Linked DNA regions of Struthio camelus. The protein of the gene in region 1 purifies or fractionates together with the protein of each later gene. This does not show direct contact. Links are inferred from orthologs where the notes say so. Each region holds a gene or a part of one and is shown on either strand. Other genes may lie near its edges.

Evidence for each region.
Region 2: the proteins of LRRK2 (region 1) and ACTG1 purify together in Homo sapiens (affinity purification with mass spectrometry; 3 studies listed by BioGRID and IntAct, with this or other methods). This does not show direct contact. The link is inferred for Struthio camelus from reciprocal best matches to the Homo sapiens genes LRRK2 and ACTG1.
Region 3: the proteins of LRRK2 (region 1) and SLC25A5 purify together in Homo sapiens (co-immunoprecipitation; 3 studies listed by IntAct, with this or other methods). This does not show direct contact. The link is inferred for Struthio camelus from reciprocal best matches to the Homo sapiens genes LRRK2 and SLC25A5.

Annotation. Positions count from the first base shown.
Region 1 is NC_090942.1:16,688,049-16,691,791, reverse strand, and holds the start of LRRK2 (leucine-rich repeat serine/threonine-protein kinase 2), read left to right. Parts: upstream 1-1,146; 5' UTR 1,147-1,246; coding exon 1,247-1,415; intron 1,416-1,500; coding exon 1,501-1,586; intron 1,587-3,743. UniProt on the Homo sapiens protein: Serine/threonine-protein kinase which phosphorylates a broad range of proteins involved in multiple processes such as neuronal plasticity, innate immunity, autophagy, and vesicle trafficking.
Region 2 is NC_090960.1:1,595,206-1,598,948, reverse strand, and holds the start of ACTG1 (actin, cytoplasmic 2), read left to right. Parts: upstream 1-1,570; 5' UTR 1,571-1,725; intron 1,726-2,397; 5' UTR 2,398-2,407; coding exon 2,408-2,530; intron 2,531-2,614; coding exon 2,615-2,854; intron 2,855-3,136; coding exon 3,137-3,575; intron 3,576-3,735; coding exon 3,736-3,743. UniProt on the Homo sapiens protein: Actins are highly conserved proteins that are involved in various types of cell motility and are ubiquitously expressed in all eukaryotic cells.
Region 3 is NC_090952.1:12,063,023-12,066,765, reverse strand, and holds SLC25A5 (ADP/ATP translocase 2), read left to right. Parts: upstream 1-1,112; 5' UTR 1,113-1,289; coding exon 1,290-1,400; intron 1,401-1,514; coding exon 1,515-2,001; intron 2,002-2,119; coding exon 2,120-2,260; intron 2,261-2,874; coding exon 2,875-3,032; 3' UTR 3,033-3,269; downstream 3,270-3,743.

The DNA.
Region 1 (3,743 bases):
AGCCAGCGCTACGTGGGTTCTGAAGCGTTACTCAGAGTGCTCAGTTCTGCTTCTTAAGAAGAGTCTGTTTTAAGAAACTCAAGCCAATCACCTAAGTCAGGTGTTCAATAAACACGATGCATATCTATCCACAAGGCATGAAAACCTAAGCAAGAGCTTCAAATAGATCCATACTCCTACCATCATCCTCCAAAAGGTCAAACGTTTATCTAACAAAATCCAGTTTAACTAGATAATTTACTTTATTAACTAACACTTTTCTTTGAAAAGCAGCAAGAGGTACCAGAAATATTGTCAGATTACAGGAAGATTGCATCAATCACAAATGAAGCAACACATGCACAAGGCAAGAGAGCCTTGTCTCAGGAAGGCCCACCGTTGCAAAGCTTAGAGTGAAATTTAACTTCTAAATGCAACACCACTTTTTTTTTTTTTTAACCAAACCTGTGGACCTAATTGAGGCCATCAGGCCAAACCACTCAGGAGGGCAGAGCACACACTGCCCTCCACCACGGTCAACTTGAACCACTGAGGCCCTCTGCTCTCATCTCAGCCACCACACAGCCGACTTAACCTCTCAAGGAAGGGGAGGAGCCCCCTCGCTGCCCCCCCAGGCCCTCGCTGACAGCCCAGCCACAGGAGGGGACACGCAACCCCCCTGCACCTCCCCAGGCAAGGCGGACCTCACCAGCTCAGGACCTGTCCTACCCTCCCAGAGGGGACAGACACACAGCCTACACACGCTCCCCCTTTCCCTTCCCTACAGACTACAGCACCCCGCCCCCAGACCTATTTTCCTCTAATACACTCAGATGAGGAACCCTCAGCCCCTCACGCCGCCCTATATCGTAAACGGGGGCGAAGGGGCGGAGCCGAGGCCTCCCCTCTGCCACTCTATTGGAGAATGGGGCTGTCGCTCACTGGAACCGGGCCCGCCGCCTGGGGCTGTTGCCAAGCCGCCGCGGGCGCCCCCTGGGGGCGGCGGGGATCCCCGCCCGCCCGCCCGCGCGGGTTTGGCAGCGCGCCGCGCCGGTCACGGCCCCGGGAGGAGCGGGGCGGAGCGCAGCGCAGCGCAGCGGAGTGGGGAGCGGCCGCCGCGGAGGCTCGGAGCAGCTGGGTGACGCCGGCCGGGCGGCGCTGCGAGCGCGGCGCAGCGTGGCGACGGGCGGCCCCAGCCCTGCTCCCTTGGGCCGCGGCGGCCCGCGCGTGGGGTGAGCCGCGGCCGAGGAGGGGCAGCGGGGCGGCCATGGCCAGCGCCAGCCCTGAGGAGAGGGAGGCGGCGGCGGCGGCGGCGAGGGAGGAACAAGCCCTGAGCAAGCTGGTGGTGCGGCTCCAAAACGTGCAGGAGAGGAAGCGGCTGGAGACGCTGGTGCAGACCCTGAGCGACCTGCTGGAGCTGGCGGCCCGGCAGAGCGGTAAGGCGCGGCGGGCCGCGCTGCCCCCCCCCGCCCGGCGGCGGCGGGCGCTAACGCGGCCTCTCTGCCTCCCCCCTCTCCGCAGCCCCGAAACTCTTCAACGGCAGAAACGTCCACGTGCCGGTGCTGGTGGTGGCCGACCTGTACGCGGGAGCGGCGGGCGTGCAGCAGGTAACCGCCGGGCCGGGAGGGGAGGGGAGGGGAAGGGGCCGCCGCCGCCGCCGCGGCCCGGCCCGGAGTGAGGCGTGAGGCGGGGACGGGGCGGCCCTCGCCGGCCGGGGACGGGGCCGGGGCCCGGCCGCCGCCGCCCTCCACAAGGGCGAAGTCGGGAGAGGAAACGGCGGATTAAAGCGCCTCTGGGCCACCCCGGTGCTCTCCGGCTAAGCCGAGCCTCTCCGTCCTTTCCTGGAAGAAAAATTACTGCTTGGCTCTTTCTTTCCCGTTTTCTTAATTTTCGTATGTTTGAGAAGGCGACCCTCGGAAGGCTGTTGGTCTGCAGAAGGACGCGGTGTCTGCTTGCTTTTAAAAGGGATGGCTCTTCCAGCTCGTCGCTGGTGCTGCTTAAGCAATAAAAGGAGGTAGCGTAGAAAATAGAAGTCAAGCAACGCGAATACGGTATTGCATAGGTTCTGCGTTACAAATAACGTTATCTAGCGCGTTCTCGACCTGATGGTATTACCCTTTGCCGAGGTTGAACTGACTTTTGAAAAGTGGAATGATACAATACGAATCCAGACATCTGTAGCCCTATCCTACAAGAGAGTTGTACCAGCCGCTGATTTTTTAGGAGAGGAAAATTCTTCTTTTAGCTAAGAAGAGGTTCTGCAGTCTATGGTCGTGCTTGGCTTTTGCCCTCCCTTGACATTGGCCCAGTTGGATTAGGTGTGGCACATCTGCAATTTGATGTTGTACTTGCAGTGCAGTTGCCAGATTTGTCATATGAAACAACTCCTTCTTGGCAGGCATATATTAAATTTACGACTGTGTTATTCCCAAAGGACGTTCATAAATTGTAGATGTCTGTGCAATGCGTTCGCTTTTTTGTTAAAAAAAAATTGTATGATTGCAACATTTCTGGCATCTTTTTTTTTCTATTCACTAGAAAGCAAACCATAAATGATGTCATAAAAGCGGCTTAAATAATGGTACTATTTAAGAGCACGTTTCTTAAGCTACTAGACCTTAGCCAGAGGTCACAAATATACAATTCAGATTAAAATGTGAAACTGTACTCCTGCCTGTGATGTGTAATGTTTACAGTGGCAATAACAATCCTCTCAAGCATATTGCCTCTCGAGCAATATGCTCTAGAGGTCCCTGCTTGAGCAGGGAGGTTGGACTAGATGATCTCCAGAGGTCCCTTCCAACCTAAACGATTCTGTGATTCTGTGATTCTTTTGAACACTAAAATATCTGTGCAGAATTTGAAGTTTTAACTTATTTTACTATTCAATTGTTGGGTCATTAAGAAATACAGAAGGATTCCTCATCAATTACTTTGGGGATAAAACATATTATGTATGTAACAGTTTACAAAATTAACGTCCAGAAGTTTGGACTAGGAAGTACAAAATACGAAATCCAGTAACAACCAGGAGTAGGTCTGAAATGACTTTGTGGAATGCTTAGACGTGCATAAGGAAGATAGAGATCATTTAATTTTCATTTTAGCTATGCTAACACTCCTCTTACATGATTTAATGCAGAATTTTAAAACAAATTTTAATCTTCACTCTGCCTGCCTTTGCAATCTCACAGTGCTTCAGTTCAGAAGTTTCGGAGCACTTTTATGTTACTACATTGTATATGAGTGTCAGATTCATAGCCAGGGCAAAGCTCAAATCCTGTTACTCATAAAATGCCGTGGGCAGCTATTCCTTCACTTTCTGTTACGATATTTACAACAGTAAATCCCACAGTATAGGAGTGGAACTCTATCTTCCTTGCTTCATCCACTGTGATTCATTTGCAGTCCTTATGAATACACAAATCTCACTTCAGGCACTGAGGGAGTCATGTAGTCTGCATTTCAGTGCAGTCCCTTTATACTACTAAATAATTTTTGTTGAACAAATTGGATAATCAGCCAGTAGCCTCTTTTGCTTTTGGCATTGTAATAAAATTGATTCGTATAAGCGAGTCAACGCAGTAAGAGCTCTATCTGAAGTGAGGATTGTCTTTTCCTCTTCTGCTTAGCTGGTTACAAAGCATCTCGTGCTGCTGTTCCACTGAGTAAATTTGCTGCATAGATCAATATTGCAGGTATCAGTGCAAGTCGAACTACAGATAGAAACTTTGCAAACTTCTTTACAAGTAGGAAGGTACCGG
Region 2 (3,743 bases), on another chromosome or scaffold:
GGGCGCCGAGCGGAGCCTGCGCCACGCGGGGGGCTCTCGCAGGACGCACCGCGCCACGCACGCCGGGTGCCACCTGCCCACCCGTGGGGCGCTCGGAGCTGATGGCAAAGCGGTGCCGGCCCCGGGGCGCTGTCTGTGGGGTGCACGGCACTGTCCGTGGGGTGCTCGGCATTGTCCATGGGGTGCTCGGCGCTGTCCGTGGGGTGCTCGGCATTGTCCGTGGGGTGCTCGGCATTGTCCATAGGGTGCAGGATGCTGTCTGTGTGCAGCGCTGCCAGAGGGTGCATGGGGCTGCCGACGGGGCGGTGCTGCCTGGAGGGTGCACGGCACCATCTGAGGGTGCACAGCGCTCTCTGTGGGGTGCTCGGTGCTATTTGTGGGGTGCAGGGTGCTGCCTGAGGGGTGCACAGTGCTTCCTGAGGGGTGCGCAGTGCCGCTGCACAAGGGGTGGTGCAGCGTGAAGGGGGCACGGCGCTGTCTGCGGGGTGCACGGTGCTGCCCGCGGGGCGGTGCTGCGAGCAGGGTGCCCGGCGCTGTCCGAGGGGCGCGCAGCCCCGTCTCTGGGCGCCCGGCGTTCCCTGAGGTGCGCGCGTCAGGGTGCCTGGCACGGCCTGTGGGGTGCCTGGTGCTGTGCGAGGGGGGCACAGGCCTTCCGAGGGGGATACAGTGCTGCCGACGGGGCGGTGCTCGTGCGGGGCGCATGGTGCTGCACAAGGGCGCTGTCGGGGGGGTGCACAGCTGCCCCGGGGGGTGCACAGTGCCATCTTTGGGGTGCACGGTGCTGTCTAGGGGGTACACGGTGCTGCCCCAGGGGGTGCATGGTGCTTTCTGAGGGGGTGCCAGCTGCCCCAGCGGCACGGTGCACAGTGCTGTCTAGGGGGTGCACGGTGCTGTTGAGGGGGTGCACAGCTGCCCCAAGGGGTGCACGGTGCTATCTTTGGGTGCACGGTGCTGTCGGGAGGTGCACTGATGCCACAGGGGGTGCATGGTGCTGTCGAGGGGGGCGCACGGTGCTATCTGGGGGTGGACAGCTGTTGCAGGGGGTGCTGTCAGGGGGTGCACGGTGCTGTCGGGGGTGCACAGTGCTGTCGGGGAGGGGGTTCACGGCACTGTCGGGGGGTGAACAGCTGCCCCACGGGGTGCACGGTGCTGTCGGGGGGGGGGTGCACGGTGCTGTCAGAGGGTGCACAGCTGCCCCGGGGGGTGCACGGTGCAATCTTTGGGGTGCACAGGGCTGTCAGGGGGTGCACAGCTGCCCCGGGGGGTGCACGGCGCTGTCGGGGGGGTGCACGGCGCTGTCGGGGGGTGCCGGCTGCCCGCGGGCGTGCCCGGGGCGCCCCTGGCTGGCGGGGCCGGGCCGGGCGCGGGGCGGCGCCGGCGGCGGGAGGGTGCCCGGCGCTGGCGGCCGGCGCGGGGCGCTGCCGGGGCCGGGGTCGCCGCCCCCCCCCCCCCCCGGCCTCTGCGCCCCATGCAGGTTCCGGGGTGCTGCGGGGCGGGGGCAGGCCGGCAGCCGCCCCACGTGGCCGGGGCCGCGCCAGCCAATGGGAGCGCGTGTTTCTGAAAGATCTCCATATATGGCGATCTTCTCGGCCGGCGGGGCGGGGTCATCGCCCCCTGGGTATAAAAGCGTGGGGCTGGGAGCTGGACGGTCTCACTCAGCCGGCGGCAGCAGACCAGGCGGTATCGTCTCCCTTCCCCGCACCGCGAGAAGCCTCCTCCGCACAGGTACCGGCCGGCCCGGCCCGGCCCGAGCCCCCCGCCGCCCTCGGGGCCGGTGGCCGTTAGCCGTTAGGGCGTGGCTCGCGCCCCTCTTGGGCCGCGCCACTGAGGTCCCCGGGGGGGAGGGGGCGGGGGGGGTTTGCAACGTGCCGCTCCCGGCTGGCTCGTGGGGTGGGTTGTGCCCGCCCTGGTGTTCTCCCACCCCTCCCCCCACCGGAGTGGTCTCGCCCGTTTGAATGGGAGCCGGGCCGTTGGGAAGGGAGGGGGGAGGGGGAAGAACGCGCGAGCCGGAGGAGGGTGGGGCGCGATTGGCCGCGGAGGCGGGTGACGTCAGGGCGCGGGAGATTCAAACCGCGGGGCGGGCGCGGGGCTGCCGCGCTGGGGCGGCGCGGCCCGGCCCGGCCCGGCCCGGCGGGGGCCCCCCGGGGAGCCGCCCCGCCGCAGGGCGGCGGCCGCCTGGCGCCGTGCCGTGCGGGAGCCGGCCCTCCCCTCCTGGCCGCGCTGCGGGACCCCCCTGCCCGCCCCCCCCCGAGCTTCGGGCTGGCCCGCTGCCAGCGCGGCCTCCCGGGGCCGCGGCCCCCAGCCGGTGCAGGGTGCGGGCGTGACGTGGCGCTGGGCACGGCAGGGCTGGGTTGCTGAGCGAGGGCTCTGTCTCTTCCTCCCCCCCCCCGACATCAGATCCTTCAAAATGGAAGAAGAAATTGCAGCGCTCGTCATCGACAATGGCTCCGGCATGTGCAAAGCTGGCTTTGCAGGGGACGATGCTCCCCGTGCTGTGTTCCCCTCCATTGTTGGGCGCCCCCGACACCAGGTAAGCTGGGAGGGCCCTGCCCGGAGTGGGTGTGCCTGGGGCGGTGCTGCAGTGCGCGGAGCTGACTCATGCGTCCCTTCCTAGGGCGTCATGGTGGGCATGGGGCAGAAGGACAGCTACGTAGGTGATGAGGCCCAGAGCAAGAGAGGAATCCTCACCCTGAAGTACCCCATTGAGCACGGTATTGTCACTAACTGGGACGACATGGAGAAAATTTGGCATCACACCTTCTACAATGAGCTCCGTGTGGCTCCCGAGGAGCACCCTGTCCTGCTCACAGAGGCTCCTCTGAACCCCAAGGCCAACAGAGAGAAGATGACACAGGTACGCTTCCTTGGGCAGCAGCCGCCGCTTACCTCCATCTTCACAAACCCTCTTTTGTTATGGCATCTTAAACCTGAGTTTTTTTTCTCCCAATGTTTTCAGGGTTCTCTACTCCTGGCATTTCCTCCTTGACGTCTCAGGTTTCTTTCATTTGTGTTTTCTGCCTGCGTTCTTTGCTTTTCTTTCACACATCAGTTTTTGCATGTCAACATGCATGTTCTAACACAGGTGTGAGTGACCCAGCTTGTTGTTCCATGCTGAACTGTTTCTTCTTTCTTCCAGATCATGTTTGAGACCTTCAACACCCCAGCCATGTACGTTGCCATCCAGGCTGTGCTGTCCCTGTATGCCTCTGGCCGTACCACTGGTATCGTTATGGACTCTGGGGATGGTGTCACCCATACTGTGCCCATCTACGAGGGGTATGCTCTGCCCCATGCCATCCTGCGCCTGGACTTGGCTGGCCGTGACCTGACAGACTACCTCATGAAGATCCTGACAGAAAGAGGCTACAGCTTCACTACAACAGCTGAAAGGGAGATTGTCCGTGACATAAAGGAAAAGCTGTGCTATGTCGCCCTGGACTTCGAGCAGGAGATGGCCACTGCTGCCTCTTCCTCCTCCCTGGAGAAGAGCTATGAGCTGCCTGATGGTCAGGTGATCACCATTGGCAATGAGCGGTTCAGGTGTCCGGAAGCCCTCTTCCAGCCATCCTTCCTGGGTAGGTATGGGCCAGAGCCGCCCTGAGAGACCGGTGGCACCTGGAGTGCCCCTCTGGTGTGGGAGTTTGCTCTGGCTGCATGCTGAGCTGGGGGGTTGGCATGGCTGAAATGAGGTGCTGCGTGTGTGTGCTAACAAGCCTGCAACTCTTTTCTCCCTAGGCATGGAG
Region 3 (3,743 bases), on another chromosome or scaffold:
CATATCGAGGCTGTAAGTACCACTGGCTCTTTCATCAACCTGCTGTGCCTCAGTTTCCCTATCTGCAGATAATAACGCTGAGATTTATTTGGGATGTGTGAATAAGGAAACGTGACTCGGGTCACTACTGGAATGAGTTGGGAAGGAACTGATTTCTTAAAGGGTGTCCTTACCTGGTCCAAGCATATTCATGTGTTTTACTAACATTGTATTTCTGTAAAGAACTTAAAGCGTTAGTGATGGGCGCATATGAACGTTTGCTCAGCTCTTCAAAGCTGATCAGAGTTAAGTGAGTTAAAAAGTTACCTCTAACTTGTTTCTGATATGCTAATGACACCTTCTTTGTATTGTAATGTATTCCTAAGACCTATAAATCACTTATTAACCTTAACCAAGTTTCCACCTTGTGTAATGACAGCTACTCACGTGAAATCCCCCAGAGGAACAGCAGAGCATGTAAGGCAGCGCTGAAACAAAGGGCTTCAGCAACGGGTCACCGCAGTGCAAGCGTGAAGCGGTGCAAGCGGTGGCCTCCATGCGGATGGCCCGTGATGGCTCATGGAGCCATGAGCGGTGCCACCGTGAAGAGCGGTGCGATAACAACAAGGCCAAAACGCAGCGGAAGCGCGTGGGCGGGTGAGGGGTCACTGAGGGGCCTCGCCCTGCGGGGCAGGTCCTAGGTCTCATGGCGCATCTCGCGGCGGCTGAAGGCAGCAGCCCGGCGCAGTAGGCCCGAACGCTGCGGCTCCGCGGTGCCCGGAGCCCGGCGGCGGCGGCGAAGCCGGGACGTGTCGGGGCGCGGGCGCCCGGTCGGCGACGGACCCCTCCGTCACGGACGCGTTGTCTGTCGCGCCACGGCGGCTCCTGCCGAAGTCACGGCGGCGCCTTCGCCCCGCTGCGCGACCCGGAGCCCCCCCGGGGCAGAGCCGCTGCTGCCCGGCCGCGGCTGGCCCGGCGCCTCGCGTCGTCCCCCGTGGGCCGGATGCGCGTGGGCCCCCCCCGGGGGGTCCCGCTCTCCCCCTCCCCCCCCTCCACGGCGGTTGCCGGCTGCCGCCTCCCCTCCCGCCCCGCTGCGGCGGCCCCGCCCCCCCTCGCCCGCAGCCAATGGGCGGGCGGGACGCGGCGGCGCGTCGCCGGGGCGCGCCCGCGCCCACGTGGCCGCCCGCCGCCCCTATATAAGGCGGCCATTTCAGCTGCGCGCTCGCCGCCCCGCGCACCGCACCGCACCGCACCGCTCCCGGCCGCGCTCCGCTCCCGGTTCCGCTCCCGGCCCGCCGCCGCCGCCCGCCATGACCGATGCGGCCGTGTCCTTCGCCAAGGATTTCCTCGCCGGAGGGGTGGCGGCCGCCATCTCCAAGACCGCCGTCGCCCCCATCGAGAGGGTCAAGCTGCTGCTGCAGGTGAGCGGCGGGGCCCGGGGCGGCGGCGGCGGCGGGGCCTCCCCAAGGGCGCCGCAAGGAGAGGGGGGCGGCGGGCGGCGGCGGGGCCCGCGCTGACGGGCGGCCCTCCCGCAGGTGCAGCACGCCAGCAAGCAGATCGCCGCGGACAAGCAGTACAAGGGCATCATCGACTGCGTGGTGCGCATCCCGCGGGAGCAGGGCGTCCTGTCCTTCTGGCGCGGCAACCTGGCCAATGTGATCAGGTACTTCCCCACCCAGGCGCTCAACTTTGCCTTCAAAGACAAATACAAGCAGATCTTCCTGGGCGGCGTTGACAAAAGGACCCAGTTCTGGCGTTACTTTGCGGGTAACCTGGCGTCCGGGGGCGCCGCCGGCGCCACGTCCCTGTGTTTCGTCTACCCCCTTGACTTTGCCCGAACCCGCCTGGCCGCTGATGTGGGTAAAGCGGGGGCTGACCGAGAGTTCAGTGGGCTCGGTGACTGCCTGGTCAAAATCTTCCGGTCGGATGGCCTTAGGGGCCTTTACCAAGGCTTCAATGTGTCTGTCCAGGGCATCATTATCTACAGAGCTGCCTACTTTGGCATCTACGACACCGCAAAGGGTAGGTGGACTGAAATTTAGTTGAAATAGAGATGCTGGACCGCAGCAGATCTGTAGCTTATTTTGGCACGTGCTGCTGGCTCGCCTGGTGTCCCCATGCAAAACCCTCTGTCCCCTAGGCATGCTTCCTGACCCAAAGAACACCCACATCGTCATCAGCTGGATGATCGCTCAGACGGTCACTGCTGTTGCTGGCTTGACCTCCTATCCTTTCGATACGGTTCGTCGTCGCATGATGATGCAGTCCGGGCGTAAAGGAAGTAAGTTTCCATTTCCTGTGTAGGGAAGTGTTGGGCATCCTTGAAGAAACAGCTGCTCGTAGACCTCAGATGAAGGCAGAATGGTTTTGCTTTCAGCAAACCTGTAGCTACCCCCCCCCCACTTTTGCAAACAGAACAGTGTGAGAGGGGCTCCAGGAGCCTAGGTAGATGTTAGGTGGGAGGAACAGATGGATCCGTCCACTCTGAACTCCTATAACGTGGCATGCACAAGCAAGATTTCTGTGAATAGGCAATAGCAGCATAATTTGCCCAAGGATGTTGCAAACCAGTGTCTCTGGGCCAAGAAGAGATGTTCCTCATTGCAGGCATGGCCTGGCTGACTGTGCAGTGGGTGCTGGATCTGGAAGTGTTGGTGTGTAGCAAACAGTAGTTGCATCCTGCTCAAACCGGTCTTTCCAGTGTCTCCTAGGGGTGCTGCAGCTGCAGCATATCTCCTGGACAATATTGTCCTCTAATGTGATAATTCTGGAGAATGTAAGACAAGAAACAGGATTGACTTGAGGTTGTGAAGCTGGCAGATAAGTTAGGCCATTTCTCACCTCGTTTTGGGGGTCATGGGCATCAGTTTCCTAACAGTCTCTTATCTCCTGCAGCTGACATAATGTACACCGGCACGATCGACTGCTGGCGGAAGATTGCCCGCGATGAGGGTTCCAAGGCATTTTTCAAAGGTGCTTGGTCGAATGTACTCCGAGGAATGGGTGGTGCTTTTGTCCTAGTCCTGTACGACGAAATCAAGAAGTACACATAAGTTATTTCCTGTTCTGAACTGGCATGTTGTGTTATGTAATCTATGACCATTCATGGACTGTATCAAAACGGTCTAGTTACTAATCAGTGGCAACTGGTATTTATACAGGTTGGCATGGGGCAGGGGTGACTGCCTGCCCTGTCTTCATGAAGTCATTCCTCTAACGGGACTCAAACATGGTTTCTATTTCAATCGCTCCAGCTTAAAGAGTATGAAAAAATAAAAGTCTGAAACCAACTTCCCTTGTGTTGTGTGTGTTTGTTCTCCCAGCAGCTCTAGTGAGGTGGTTCTGCACAGTGATTGTGGAGAAGGTGGGATCCATCCTACATGCCTTGCTCACTGCTAGCTATGCCGGGCCTCCTGCAGGCAAATAACGCTGCCTGTCAAGAAAGCTATGTACTATTGCCTCCTAATGGAGCCTTAGCAGTAAGTGCTGGAGTCAGGACTGGCAGCTCAGATACATTTTTTTTTTTTTTTTTCTTCCCAGCTGGCCTCTCCAGAGGCCCCCCCAGTAGCAGGAGCTGATATACTGCCCATATTCCACCAGTGCCTGCTTTTGGCCTAAGTGCTCCCTTGTGCTGATGCAACCTCACCCTCCTTCAAATCACCAGCCCTCCCAGCTGAGCTAAAGGCCTGGGAGACCGGAGAGATGTCTAAGGAGTATTTGCCGTCCTCTGGAAGAGCAAGGAGATAGGATCATGTGCTCTGGCC